Lepisosteus oculatus: one gene and its partner. Each later gene encodes a partner of the first gene's protein in a complex. Links are inferred from orthologs where the notes say so. Each region holds a gene or a part of one and is shown on either strand. Other genes may lie near its edges.

What was found. The genes of interacting proteins can lie anywhere in the genome.
Region 2: pigq (region 1) and dpm2 share a complex: the UniProt entries of both Homo sapiens proteins name them as parts of the glycosylphosphatidylinositol-N-acetylglucosaminyltransferase (GPI-GnT) complex. The link is inferred for Lepisosteus oculatus from reciprocal best matches to the Homo sapiens genes PIGQ and DPM2.

What each region holds. Positions count from the first base shown.
Region 1 is NC_090714.1:14,954,689-14,962,195, forward strand, and holds the start of pigq (phosphatidylinositol N-acetylglucosaminyltransferase subunit Q), read left to right. Parts: upstream 1-4,501; 5' UTR 4,502-4,853; intron 4,854-4,891; exon of another isoform or gene 4,892-5,143; intron 5,144-5,478; 5' UTR 5,479-5,553; intron 5,554-5,864; exon of another isoform or gene 5,865-6,177; intron 6,178-7,368; 5' UTR 7,369-7,421; coding exon 7,422-7,507. Other genes in the region: alg1 (chitobiosyldiphosphodolichol beta-mannosyltransferase), read left to right, coding at 259-396; protein-lysine N-methyltransferase EEF2KMT, read right to left, coding at 1,000-1,118, 1,278-1,427, 2,020-2,285, 2,390-2,523, 2,610-2,714, 2,888-2,968, 3,077-3,139, 3,354-3,473. UniProt on the Homo sapiens protein: Part of the glycosylphosphatidylinositol-N-acetylglucosaminyltransferase (GPI-GnT) complex that catalyzes the transfer of N-acetylglucosamine from UDP-N-acetylglucosamine to phosphatidylinositol and participates in the first step of GPI biosynthesis.
Region 2 is NC_090719.1:15,315,824-15,322,909, forward strand, and holds the start of dpm2 (dolichol phosphate-mannose biosynthesis regulatory protein), read left to right. Parts: upstream 1-4,074; 5' UTR 4,075-4,171; coding exon 4,172-4,174; intron 4,175-4,682; coding exon 4,683-4,772; intron 4,773-5,267; coding exon 5,268-5,370; intron 5,371-5,918; coding exon 5,919-5,974; 3' UTR 5,975-7,086. Other genes in the region: uncharacterized protein, read right to left, coding at 1,117-1,265, 1,777-1,992, 2,380-2,507, 2,844-3,205. UniProt on the Homo sapiens protein: Regulates the biosynthesis of dolichol phosphate-mannose. Regulatory subunit of the dolichol-phosphate mannose (DPM) synthase complex; essential for the ER localization and stable expression of DPM1.

The DNA.
Region 1 (7,507 bases):
TTTCCCTGCACAGAGTATCGCAGCTCTAGCTGAGGGATTGTGCAGATGGGAACTTTCAGGAACTGGAAAGTTCCTTGAGGGAAAAGCATTATGCCTTGTGTTTCATGTGCATTAGATCATTTCAGTGAAACAGATTGGAAATATGTCCAGTTGAATCCAGGAGTCCCAGGCTGTTAGGTTATGGAGAGCTTATGACACGTTGAATGTCTGCATGTACTGCCATCCTCACTCATTTCTCTTCTGCCCTTCTCTGTTCAGATGCTACTTGCAGACTTCCCTGGTGTCCAGGGAATGCTGGGTACCTTCAGAAGGACCCTGAGGGATTGTGGCCTGCAGCGCTGGGATGAGAGCTGGGAGCAGACTGTCCTCCCTCTCCTCACCGGAGACGTCCAGTGAAAACCCCACCTGGCGCAGGTGGCCAGCGTCGCAAGAACAGCTGCTGGCCAGACCGGGCACATCTGCCCCACCTACGCTCTTGAGGACCCTGCTGTGTAACAGACTGCGGCAGATTCTCAGCACTTACACTAGAAACAGCTGGACGACACTCTTGGATCAGTACCTACACCTGGCCGTGACCAGTGTGGTTACGTTTCAGAGGGCTTCCTACACGGCTTGGTTACTGCCTTGAGGAAGAGGGCAGCAAGACCACACACATCCCCACACAGCGAGGCCTGTAGATTAATGAACAGCGCAGTGTGGTTCCGGGTCTGACCCGGTACCACACTCGCCCGGGTCCGAACTTCAGCGGGGACAAAGCGCAGCAGGAGTGGCTCGGGGAGAGACCAGCTTGGTTTTATTACGAGGATGAATTCGCTTCACTTTCTCAGGTGCCCTTGGATTTTGCTTCTCTTCGAAGTTGTCTGCCAGCGTGGTGCTCATTCACCGTGAATTAGATTTCCTAGTAATAGGAGTCTTCAACTCGAACCCAGATCGAAAGGACTGTAAACCTGTTCAGAAAAAAAACCCTCTATGTACAAAAAAAAGAACGGTTTACTTTTTTTAATAAAGCACTTTATTTAATAAATGGAGTTGTACAATTTCGATGGTAGATTTTCTGTCGTAGGGGAAGACCTGTGCTGTAGGACCAGGAACCGATCGATGTTTGATTCCAGCTTTATCTGCAGACAAAAAATAAAAGATCATCCAGCCGTTCGATTTGAATAACTTCCTAGTCCAGTCGTGGGCTGTGGTGAGCTGGCAAGGAATGAGCACAAGGCAGGATCATACACAGGGGAACGATTTCGAGACCCCTGTCCTGGGGGGCACACGGGTCTTACCAAGCTCGCTCTTGAAGAGGCGGTACGTCTCGGGGTTTCGGATGGTGGAGGCTATGTAGACGTCAGGGCTCCTGCTCTGCACAGGAAGCTTTAAAAGCTTGAGGAGCAGCCCCACTAGCGCACAGATGACACCGGGGTCGTACACCACATCTGTGTCGAACAAAAAGACAGACAGGACCGGAAGGGCCTTTTTAGAACAAAACTCTAGCCAGGGGTTAATCCAGCTCTAAGTGTGTAACATTTGAAACTATTACACATGAGGTGGCTCTGTGGCTCAGGATCTGCGCCTGTGGCTGGAAGGTTGCTGGTTCGTATCCTGCGGCCGGCAGAGGAATCCTACTATGCTGGGCCCCTGAGCAAGGCCCTTCACCCCAACTGCTCCAGGGGCGCCGTATAAACGGTTGACCCTGGGCTCTGACCCCCAGCTTCTCTCCCCGTCTGTGTGTCTCATGGAGAGCAAGCTGGGGTATGCGAAAAGACAAATTCCCAATACAAGAAATTGTATATGGCCAATAAAGTGATCTTATTAGAAGCTTATGGGTTTGGACCGTGATCTCTGGGCTAGCAGAGTCTGCATCTTGGTTGTAGTGATCATCTAGTTCTGAAGACGCATTTCCAAGTCCTTTTAAGCTGCGCCTCTGTGCAAAAGAAAACGAGTGTTTTCCGGCTTTCCATAGAGGAGAACAAGGAAACCGACACGAGGAAAGGAGCTCCTTTCGGGAGGCAGCCGGGGCCACAGCACCTGACGCGATGACCGTGTCGGCCTGAAAGCCCTCCAGCTGCTCCGGGGCTGCGGCGTCCCAGTCCAGCTCCGCCACGGAGACGGCCGGGGTGCCCGGCCCGGGGGTAGGGGTGCCCGGGGGGGCCAGCCCGTTCAGCGCCAAGTTGCCCCGCAGGAGCTGCAGCACGCTGGGGTGGCCGTCGCTGAACGTGTACCTGCGGGGGCGGCAGGACTTGCACACGACCGCCCCGGTCAGGCCCGCGCCGCTGCCCAGCTCCAGCACCGCCCTGCGGGGAGAAAAGGGGGACGTTCCGACACCCCCGCGAAGACAGGCTGCGCCCCCCCCCCCCAAGCTAGTGAGTGTCGTGGAGGGCGGGTTTTAAGACCCTACCTGCCGCGGAAGAGCTCGGGCCGCTCCATGGCCCACTCGGCGAGGTGCTGCGCCGCCTGCCAGGTCACCAGGCCCGTGGTGCCGTCTGAGACGAGCGCCGTGCTCTCCAACAGGCTGACCGTGTCCCCTGAGGGCTGGACACCCCACACGACGCGTCACTCGGACGGTACAGCGCCAGGACACAACCGGGAGGGGGGGCGGAAACGAGGGGCTCTCCTACCAGAAAGTAGCTCTTGTGGCAGACCTGGTCTTCCCCCGCTCCCACGACCTCCGCGAAGGCGTCGTACAGCTCGTCCAGGGGCTCCGCCCCCGCCGCGGCTTCGTGCTGTCCAGGATTACAGAGGTTAGAGAGCGGGGTGAGGAGGAGACTCGCCGGCCGCCCTAGACTTCACGTCGCGCAGTTTGCACGACATTGCTTTTTCTGCAATTAGAGCACACGCAAAAAGAAGCGCACACCTGTCCCGTGCAAAGGTGTGAATCGGCTGACGTTTAAATTACCTTTTTAATTAATTCGGAGAGGAAAAGCCTTCTGTATTTAACGGACGGGGGGTTCTTTAGACAAAGTGGATGGTGGACTGTCTGAAAGAAGCACAGGGGAGGGATGTAATCGATCATTCATTTATTTTTTTTTTAGAAATATTCAATGCATCATGTTGGTGTATTTGCACTCGAGCCGGCCGGCTGTACCCTCTGCAGGATGCGGAGCACGATGCCAGGAGAGTCCGGACCCTGCACCTCCTTCTCAAGCGCCTGGAAGAGAACACGTTGGGGGGTCTTTAGTGGCACAGCTACCATGTCTGACACCCCTATAACACTAGAGCACTATTCCTTTAACAGTGACCGCAACTCTCCCGGCCCTCGGAGTTTCTCGAGCTGCTTCTTCAAGCTGCAGCGCTTGGCCAGGCTGCAAAACACAGCGGTTCAATAAGTATCACTCGACAGCCCAAAGGAGAATTTGACTTACTCTCCAGGGAAACGACCCCAGTCTGCACATGGCAAAAAAAGACACCGTGAAATCCTGGAGTACAGCGCGTTGGTCTGCTGAAGACGAGTCCGTCTTCCTCGAAACGTCTTCGAGACTCATGGTTCCAGCAACGAAACGACTTTATAAAACCTTCTTCATTTATTCAGATGCACATGCATACTGTACAAATGTGCAATGACAGTCGCACAGACAACCACATCTCGAGGAAGAAAAACAGACCATGTCGACGGCACGTTTTTTTCACCCATAACCCACTGCGGGTTTGTAGTCTTTTTTTCCCCCCAAGCAGTCTGGTAAGTGTAGTTTTTTTATTTGGGTAGCGCAACTTTTATAAAAACACAACCATTGCCCTTTTTTATTAACGTTTCCTTTTTTTAAGGAAAATAAACAAATCACATGATCACCATTTTTGCATTGATTTGAACTTAGTTTTTTTTTTCTTTTTAGTATACCTGATAGGTCAGTAAGGGGAACCGAACCTTTTAATGCAAGAGAAATTACATTATAAATGTCTTTAACGTAGAACTGGGCTAAGTAATACCGTGTACTGCAAATCAGTTCTGTTAAATTGTACTCTGTCATGAACTGGCTTTAATCAAAATAAAGCGAAACCAATTGAAAACAAGCAATAAACAATATTAATGAGGCTTAATAGACATAGCGGTTTGAGGAAATGAATAGCTCTATCTGTGATTTACTGATGTTACAGAAGCTGTGCAGGCGGACTTCTTTTAATGTTTTTACAAAATCTGCTGCTTTTTATTTTACAAAATATACTATTTTACTTTTAGTTACCTTATTACGTTTTCCTTTTGTAGGGACAGAACACATTTTTCTCTTCGTCTCTTGCTTCTAGATAGATAAGACTTTTTTGACTCTGTACTCTACAGCAACTGCGGCGCCCTGGTGCCGTTTATAACTTATCATTTAGTACCACTTTGCACAACCCCTCATCTCACTGTAATTCGTACTGGCGTCAGACCGCGTTTAAAACAGCCGTGCAGTGAGACCTCACGGTCCCGGAGATACCAGGGCTCTGTCTGGCGCTGTGTTTGGTGCCTGATAAGGCCGGCAGACCGTGGTATCACACCCGCACATTGTCACTGAACTGTGACCAGACGCCTGCTGGCAGATAGTTCAGTAAGCGTTTGGTGTGATCATCATTACGATCAATATTAAAATTTAAAACACCTTACAAAATGAAACATGAAAAAAGCACAAGACCGTATGCTGGGTAGAACCGCACGGGGGAGGGGAGGGGGGCAGTCATTTTCTGGGGCTTAAAAGATTTTGGTGTTTAACGCGGGCAATAAACGCAGCGATCCAGACTTTTTCCATCACGTGTATCGGGCTTGTCGTGTGTTATCGACTCCTGTAGTCTGTAGCGCTCAGCCAGCCCGCTCTTGCTCTTGCGGAGTCGCCGAGCTACCCGCGCCCGGGCCCTGCGACAGGCGCAGACGGCAGCCAGACAGCACGGCGGTGAGTACCCGGGCGTCTCTCCTCTGCCAACGGCCCTGACCCCTGCCTCTCTGGCCCGGGAGGCTTGGAAAACCAGGGCAAGCGAGCGAGCAAGTCTGGAGCCCTGCTCCTTTAGGAAGCGCGCTGCAGTAACCTTGGAGGCGAGACAGGGTTGGCGTGGGTGACTGCGTTTGTAGCCAGAAAAATGCAGAACGGAGGAGGAAAGGGACAGCGCGCAGCTGAAAGGGCTGTGGTGCAGCCCTGGAGCATTTAAAAGCATTCAATTCACCCGAACACCGCCAGCTTCGAAGGTCTGTCGTCGGTTTACAAAAAAATAACGCTATTTGTATAGATTAAATATATACCGATCATGGACTTAAAAAAATAACTTAAATATTAAAACCAGATACTTAAAGCTTGTCATCTTAAAATGTAGTGTAAAAGTCAGGGGTCAGCCGGCTGGTTTTACATTTTAAACATGATCTTATTCCTTACAACCATATAATTTATGGATTTCTATCCCTATTAATTACCATCATTTTAATTCTCGTCATTATTGTTTTAAATGACATGGTCTTACAGTATTACTGTACTTCATGGCGGCACAAAAGAACGAACTGGAACCTGTCTGCTTTCTCTACAATAGATTCTGCCGGATCTATTGTAGCTGTGTGTCATATTCGCCGGGGGACGAATAAGTGTGCTGCACGCCGGGGGAAGTGCTAAGAGCCGCGTCGGGGCCGGTTATTACTACCCGAAATGGTGAAGCGACAAGGGCTGTGGGCGGGGTTTAAAATGTGTTCCTCCCATGGCCGATAATGATTGGTCACAGAGCAGGAGAAGCGGAAGCAAGGCTTCAGCGACTAAAAACGACTCTGGTGGGCATCGGAGGATAGCAGAAGGACATAATTTCTCATTTTATTCAAAATGGCACACTCATCCTAGGGCACACTAGGCTGTCCTGCCTCTTTCCAATCCTAATACCCCGCTACAGAAAGCCGCACCACAGATATGGGCGTTTCTTATCACTGAGACCACACCCACCCCCGCCCCCCAAGGTGATATTGTGGCGTGTTGCTTCACGAATTCGGGTGGGAAATAGGAGTCAAACGGGACTTGTAACAGCGACGGACAGCTATCGTACTTACAGTGAATGTGGCAGTCTGCAACAAACTGAAGCACTGTATTAAGTGGGTTCGACATAATTTATTATTCCATTTAAATTATTCCATGCACTTACAAGATACAGACACTCCTATCTCACCATCATGAAACCAATTTGGAAACAGCGGTCGTGCCCAGCAAAGTCCTCAGACTAAGATATTCGGAAGGTCAAAAGCACACAGTAAGTCTGTTCTGTGCCTGCTAATTATCTTCCCCATTTGTTGTGTTCATGTAAAAAGCACTATTTATTTCAGTTAGATAGGTTTAAGATGATAAAGTGTGAAGTTGTGGTACACAAAGTATAAGTAACGATTAAAATGTAGACTTCACGTTTAGCTACTGTTTAGTTGAACAGCTAAGCATTTTCTATTTTCTTTTTATCTTCTTCGACCTTCGTGCTTGGCTGTATGTACTTCTGAGCAAATCTGTGAGCTAATTGAAGGCAGAAATATGATCTTCAAAGAGCATGCCGTGAAAGCAGGTTTCTAAGGAATTGCGGGTCGAGGTCGGCTTCCCAAGGACAAAAGGGGCGGACAGCCCCTCTGTGAACCTGTTCGTCAGATCCGGAAGGGCTACTTCGATCTCTGGTTAACTTTCATGAGCAAAAAGTGCTTATAGTGAGCTAATGCGTATGGATTTTATCAATAGACACAGTGAGAGTGTAGTAGTATTGGAACAAGTAATAGGTTTATTCTAGGCTGAATAGAGAAGAGAGAAAACCCAACGTTTCGGCCGTGGAGCCTTCTTCAGGAGTGAAACGGCCGAAACGTTGTGTTTTCTTTCTTCTCTTTTCAGCATGGAATAAACCTATTACTTGGTCCTTTGCAGCCTACGCATGCTGACGCAGCTCCCCACCTGAACTACTTGAAGTAGTATTTCTACCTTAATGACTTAAGTATGTTTTTCTCGAATGTCGAATAAACGGGTTCTTGTGAAGAACGCGTGAGGGCATTAACTGACACAGGGTGCTCTATCCAACACCAAGCAGAGGAAAAACAGCCCAGTCGTGTAAGCCCAGAGCCGATGTAATGGTCCACCACAGAAACCACAGTTGAGGGCGATGTAGGCTTTGGTGGCGCCATCTCAGATCATTACTTAAGGAATGGCTAAAACTAATAACTGTTTGCATTTACTGTTATAAAATATTTCAGGGCTCTTCTAAGGACTTTATAGATGTTTAAATAGATGGATATTAGCAACCATAAGACCGAGACCGTGGGTTTATTAATGAAGTTTAATGGCTTTTCCATGAGGTTTGTATGAACAGCAGTGATCGTCCGTATGGCCGGTTGCTAAGCTCTTGATGACCATCGTTGAGGTGAGCTTTCCCGAGTTTCTTTCGGATAACCCCGGCCGTATCCGTTTCTCCCCAGAAGAGGCTTGTCGATAACGCTCGTCCCGTCGTTCCGGAGAGCTCCGGCCGCCATGGTGCTGAAGGTGTTTTTCCCGCGGTGCTGCAACGCGGGCGACAGCGGGCTTCTCGTTGGGCGCTGGCTGCCGGAGCACGACTC
Region 2 (7,086 bases), on another chromosome or scaffold:
TCTAGTAAAAGAAGAGCACGCTGCTGACACTTGGGATACTAAGTTATTAGTGAAACTGGAGAAACAATTCTCTTCCCCAGTCTCCAGGGCCTGGTGTTTCCCTATTTGAACAGTTTTCCATTGTTTTTCAACTTGAGAATTTGTCCCATGACTTATTTCTAAAAAAAATAACAACCTAGTTCTGGAGCATTGATAAAAAATTAACTGGATTTAAAAAATCGCGTAACCGCGGGTGAGGAAAATGGTAAAAACTGCAAGTGGAACGAACACCTTCGAGCACAGGTGCGAAGTGCCCATTGTGGCTAATAATCAGCTGCAGTTGTACAAAACCGGCACTTGTTTATTCCATAACAGCAGGTACAGTGTTAGTTGGGTAACTGAAAAAATAACAAGTCCAGAAACTGGTGGGTCCCGTGATGAAGAAAATAAAACTAACCAGCTGTAGACCTGAAAATATAGCAAACAGAAAAGGAAAGTATTAATGGGACCTGGCTAACTCCTGGCTGTAGCCTAACTGACAACTATAAAAGAAACAAACCCAAAATAGGATGGAAAGAAAAACTTAACAAATTTGGAGTAAAAAAAAAAAATCCAGTTCATGCGAGAGCTTTTGCAAGGCTGCGGCTCGCCATGCGTCTCCTCTGGTCTTGGATCTCATTATCTATGCAGAGGTCAGCTGGAGGACCTCTCCTGGTGTTAATGAGGAACTGACCTCCAGCAATCACCTAGTGGAGAAAAGCCCAGGCTATGATCCCAGCACAGAGGGGGTTAAGGATGATCTGAAGGTGACAGGAACCGTGAGGAACAAGGTTCCACAGACAAAGTTGGGACCCATATTAGTTTGACCATCATTCCTCTCCTGGTAGTCTTCCAGGATGCCAGCCGACTGGGTACTGTGGTGGGCAGCAGGTTCTTTTGGATGTGCTCAAACATGCATCGATCCATAGTGTAGTTTTTCCCATGGGTGGGAAAGCTATCTCTAACTACCTCTATAAACACCCCCTATGTAATTGGCCTTTCCCCTGGCTGATAGAGGCTATGTGTTGAAGTGTCTTGGAGATAAGGACAGGGGGCAGCGCTCCACATTGCAAGACAGGGCTTGCGAAGTTCTCCGCTTCAGAGGGTCTCCTCCTTGATGCACTGGCTCCGGCCCAGCCTCCTCCCTCTCTCCTCTGTGAACTGGTAGCACAGGACGCACCACAGGCTCTCCTCGGGCCTGATCTGCACCCCCTGCGTGCTCCTGAAGGGCCGCAGCGCGCAGGAACCTGGGAGAGAGAGAGAGCACGTGCCTCAGGGCGCTGACCGCACTGGTGCGAGGGCGAGGAACGCCTCACTCCGTCCTCCGCCTGCGAGCACCTCCCTCCCCGAGCGCTGCAGTTCCCCGCCGAGTGGAGAGCTCGGCCGCAGCACCTGCTCTGAGGAAGTGGGGCTGTAATTCCCCTTTAACTGCGCCAATCCCCCGCTTTGTTGGTCAAAGTTTTCAGAAACTGATGATTTGAGGGCGTCCTGGGAACCAGAAGACTCGATGGGTTGTCATCCCAGGGCTGCTCACTCCTGCACCGGGGTAAAAATTCACCAGCACGACTACTGCACCTCACAGCACCCTCTGGTGTGTACTGCATAGGGCCACCCATTGAGTTATATTATTGTTCTAGAAATGACTTGTGAGTTCTGTGTCCCGTTGTAACCTGACTGCAAGACAGTTTGAGGTGGGGGTCACCATGCATGAAGATCCACTTTATAAAATACATCCGGATCGCCTGGCAGGTCGATTACCCAGTATGAAGTACGCAGCAGTGCCGAGGCAGAGGACGATGAGGAAGATGGTCATCGGCCCTACGTCCTCCAGGTTGCAGGAGTTGGGGCAGGCACAGGGGCTCCGGACGAAGATCTCCAGGGCGCGGTTGTGCTCCACAGGCTGGGAGAGGGACACGGAGTGGTTGGGGCTGCAGTGATAGTGTACCACAGTGTGGACCAGGCTGCTGGAAAGGACTTGTTAAAGAACATCGAGGGGATAATTACTCCTTCGCACGGCCTGTACTACTCTCACATCACATTCACGGTGGGCAGCAAGACGTTTCTTTTAGTTCTGACCAGGGCCAAAGCAGAGGCACACAATCCCTTTCCACTTACAACGTCACCTCATAGCAAAAAAACAGGAAAAGGTTTCAATTCAATTCAATAAATGTACCTTGACAATACACACTCACACCTGAGGATTACCAAAGATCCTCTTTCAAACTTCCATCTCTTCAAAATGAAATCCCTCATTGATTATGACAGAATTGCTCTCATGTCTGGTTCTTAGACCTAACCAGCCCTTCACTGACATTTAATTATTTGCAAGCCCGGAAGAAGTTACGTTTCTGATGAGCTAACATAAAGACGGCGAACCTGGGTATGTAACTGAAAGGGTCCGCGATTGGTTGTCGTATCTGAATTCATTCCCTTCGTGTTGCCCGTAGTTGAAGTAGCGACTCTCGACGCCGCCGCTGCTTGTGTGGTGTCTGGGAGAGAGAATTGAGTTGTCGGAGGGGAAAAAAAGGTTTAGGTTGCACCTACCCGTGCCAACCTCATCAGGCATGTCCGCCAGCAGTGACAAGGGCACCCTCGCAGTAACCGTACTGACCTCGACATCGGCAGCCAGTGATTCTTATCGGAGTAGAATACAGTAATATGCTGCTATAATAAGGAATTTGTTTTTAAATCATAACAGTTTACTGCAGTATTTGCTCTGAGCATCCGTAAGGTTTGTTTGCTCCCAGTCCTAACAACACCGTTTCGCACTTGGACTACAGTCTCTCCCCACTCCCCTCCGCCCCGCAAGCAGGCGCTGACCCTACCTCACGACCACGCAGGCGGCCACCTCCAGGCACTGGGTGCCGGGAACCTCAGCGGGCTCGGAGAAGGGCGAGCAGGGGCTGAACGACACCAGCACCTCGTCCGCCCCCGCCGGCTCGGCTCTGTAGCGCTGCGGGAGCCCGGCCGAGCCGCCCAGCGCCGCCAGGTTAATGACGCCCGAGCCGTCCTTCAGGAGACACTTGCAGTGGCTCACCTTGAGGCACCCCGGCTTCTTATTCAGGGGTGGAGGAGACGCAGAGGGGAGAATAAAACACAGGGCAAGGAGAAGGATGAATTTGCAGACCTCCATCCCGCTGGGGTGTTTCTGGAGTACGGCGCTGCGTGCCTCTCCCGGGGTTCTCATTAGTAACTCTCCTCTGACAGCTGTGGCAGCTCCATGAGACCGAGGAAAGCAATTACAATGTCACCACCAGATTCCAGGGGTCTGACGCAGCCTGGGCCAGCCGGCGTTGCAAGAGCTGCATTTGGGGATGGCGAGAGATTTCTTCTTCTTATAGAACCAGTGTCAAAATTATCTTTGAGATATTCCGATTTCGCTCTAAGCAGTGATAAAAGTTGAGTCACCCACTGGAATAGGACCACGTTTACGCTCGTACAACTTTTGGCGATTTAATTTAATACCCCGGGAGCTCAGGAGCGGAACACGGAAAGAAAAGAAAATTCGTAGCTGCATCTGAAGAACTTACCACGACGCGCTCTCTAGCTCATAGTGAGACCCATTTTATATTGCAAGGCTGGAGCTCATTTAAATATTTCTTTTAAGAGAAATTATTTAAACGCGCATCAGCGTAACAAGACAACGAGAACATTAACAAAATCAAATCTATATATTTAAAATTCAGAGCAGAAAGTGTATTAGATTTTTGGATGCAACAAAACTGCACCTATACTATCAATATAATGCTATATACCACACAGCTTATGAATGGTACAGTAGCAGAACAGGCCAGTATGTGGCATACTGTATAGAATTAACAGTACAGGTGCACCTTTGTTGCCACCTTGTGTTTTTTCGCATCATCTGTGAAATTTCGAGTTAATTAATATTCTGAATACCTGTTATATCCGTTCACATGTAATAATTTCTTCACTAATGTGAATGATTGCACGCACGAAAGGCTATAGCGAACTCGCAAGCAAAATACCCGTCATCTAATCCAATCTTTTCAAAGTTGGTCACATCGCAAAAAAAACTACATTTCCCATAATTCTTCAAATTTTTGATTGGAAGATTTAGGGACCAATCAGAATTCACCGGAAGTTGGAAGCTCCACGATTTCGTAGAAGGAAGGAAAGTACCGAGTGCAATATGGTGAGTTGGACTTAAACATGTTCGATTTCTGTAGCTATAATAAATATTCCTTTGTAATTTGTGAAGCCTGGTTAATGCTTTATTTAGTGCAATGACTTATGCTTATAAGGCGTTATCTGAGCTGCATTATTGTATCAGCTTTCATAGAATTTGAATGAATTGGCAACTCGGAAAGACAGGTACGTATTTAACGAGATAATATATACTCTTACAAACAGAAACTGTAGCTTTGGCAAGAAATGACGAATTCGCTTTGAAGTGTAGTGTGTATTGTATTCAGTATAAAGTTATGCTATGTGTGGGGTTTAATAAGATACAGTCAACATATCAACCCGTAAAATCTGTGCGTGGATATAACATCTTCTTCGGGGTTAGAGGACAGTTAATCCAAGTAAGCACCTGTGTCGGAGTTTTTGCAGTTGCACAGTCACCTTGCGACAGCAGAACGAAACGCCCAGTGTGATTATCGGTGCTATCGGTTAACATTTCTTTTCCACGGCTTTGCTAGGCTACAGGAGCGGATCAGGCGGTTGGGATGGGCATCGTGAGCTTCAGCCTGCTGCTCTTCACCTATTACACAGTCTGGGTTATAATCTTGGTGGGTATTCACCTCTCTTGCTTCATGTGGATTTTGATCCTCTGGCTGTTTTCCCCAGTGACACAATAGCAGTCTTTGACACGTTTTATAGGGTATATAAGGTGTATACAGTACATATCAATGTATCTTGTTTGCCCCTGAGACTCGCAGACAGGTCTTCATGCCCACTGCTCATGTCCCATTCCTCTCTTCCCCTTTGAAAACATGGGAATGTCGTCTTCAGTTCTGCAGTGGCTTCGCACTTTCACTTTGGCATTTGTTTAGGAATAGCAAAGTACAGCATTGAATAAAGATCTCTTGAAGAAACGCTGCTGTGTACAGTACAGGATCAGATAAGACAGCTGAGACACTTGTCAGACCTTTAGAGATAAAGAATTTCAACCATTTTAAAATATTTGAAAATTCCTCCCAGATGGAGATTTAGTGATGAAGGAGGAGGAGATGCCTGGGGATGTGGGGACATGTGGTAACCCTGGTCTGGTTGTTGTTTTGCAGCCCTTTGTGGACAGTGACCACGTGATGCACCAGTATTTTCTCCCCCGGGAGTATTCTGTCATATTGCCTGGCGTTGCAGCTTTGATTCTGCTGCTCTTTGTAGGTAGGTGTGTTTCTCTTGCAGGGAGGGGATTTACAGTCACTTAACATATCGGCAGCCTGTGCTTATTTTCCCACAAATCAAGGTTTCAGATTGAGGGTGAGCATTTATTAACCTTTTCCAACCTTCGTGAACGTCTCAGCTTGAAGGTGGTTGTTATCATAGCCAGTTCTCTATGACAAACACGAGCTCATGTACTACAATGACCAGAGAACGCAAGACCATTGAACTGATTCACGAATCGCACTCGTTTGTTTCTTGAAAGCATTTACTTCTTTGCTTTGAGGTCTCTCACCTCTTCTCCTTCTGTTTTGGAGTCTTTAAGGCCACGAGTGTGGCTGTGATGATTCACTCAGACATTGTTTTTGTGAAACTGTCTGTTGTTGTTGCTGGTCTGGGTAGACATGGCTACAACATCTGCAGTGCATGAGTCACACTTGCACACTTATTTTTACATTTTGGTAAGAGGTCCCAGATTTGAAGAGAGTTCGTTTGTCTTTGGCCTTCTGTTTCTTTCTGAAGAGAATAACTATGTCTTCTTTTATATTCAGGAACCTTTATCGGCATAGTAACCTGGAAGAACAGGAAACCAAAGAAGTCAGAGTGAAAAGAGCAGCTCGTTCACAAGCATCCAGGAGTCCAACCCCCATGAGTGAGATCAGCTCCTGTGTGAACCGATGAACGAATCCCTTTTCCTTCACATTGCAGAGCACTTTGGACATTCTGTGGGCAAGTCTGAAAAGCGGGCTGCACTGCAGTTTGAGCCATTTCAGAGTCACCTGTGCTGACGTCTCAAGGGTTGAATTAAGGGTAAATCCGAGCGGACGGGGGCTTGTGAGGTTACACCCACAGTGGAGCAGAAATGGAATTTGCTGTGCAGGTCACAGACCGCCCTCTTCCCCCAGGCAAACGTTCGAGGTGCTGCAGAGAAGAATATCGTCCTTGCGCACTCCACACACCCTTAATGACTGCATGGCTGTAAGCACTTTGTCGCAAAAACCCAGAGGGGCCGGCTTGTAATCCACAGAGTCGCTCCCAGATGAGAGCCAGATGACTCATGTAACCCGTTTCCGTCACTGAATTGAAGGGATACAGTTTTTTTTAAAAGCACGATGGAAGTTCTTAATGTTGCCACTAACATTACATCTAAAATGCTTTACCTGCAAGTTTTATTTTAAAAACATTGCGTCAGTGAAACTCCATACTAGTTTTGTGGTGGCTACAGGAAGATGAAATTAATTCCCATGTAATATCAGTGCCCCCTTTGCATTGCAGACAAGCTTGTATATATTTATGTACAGTATGCAGTAAAATTGTGATGTCTACTTAATTACACTTGTAGGCAGCTTTTGTCCTGTAACGTACCTCCATCTGTAAAATGCTGTGACTACCCTTCCAAAAAAAAAAAAACAATGACATCTTGGTTCACAAAACTGCCTTCTTATCTTTTTTTAACAAAAATCACAAATGCATGAATTGTGATGCCTGCACACATTTCAAATGTGAGTGCAGGTATTGACCTTCTCGTACTTTTTGATTTATACACCTTGCGCCTTGTAAGACTGTGTGTTTAGTCCTTAAAATATGAAGTGTATGTAAAAAAACACACATGCTTCAAGGCTGACTAAAGACCCAGCATGTTAAAGTTGATTTCAGTGGATGGAGGGATGGTGTGTTTAATGTACTGTTGTGCTCCAAAGTTCATACCTAAGGCTCTGA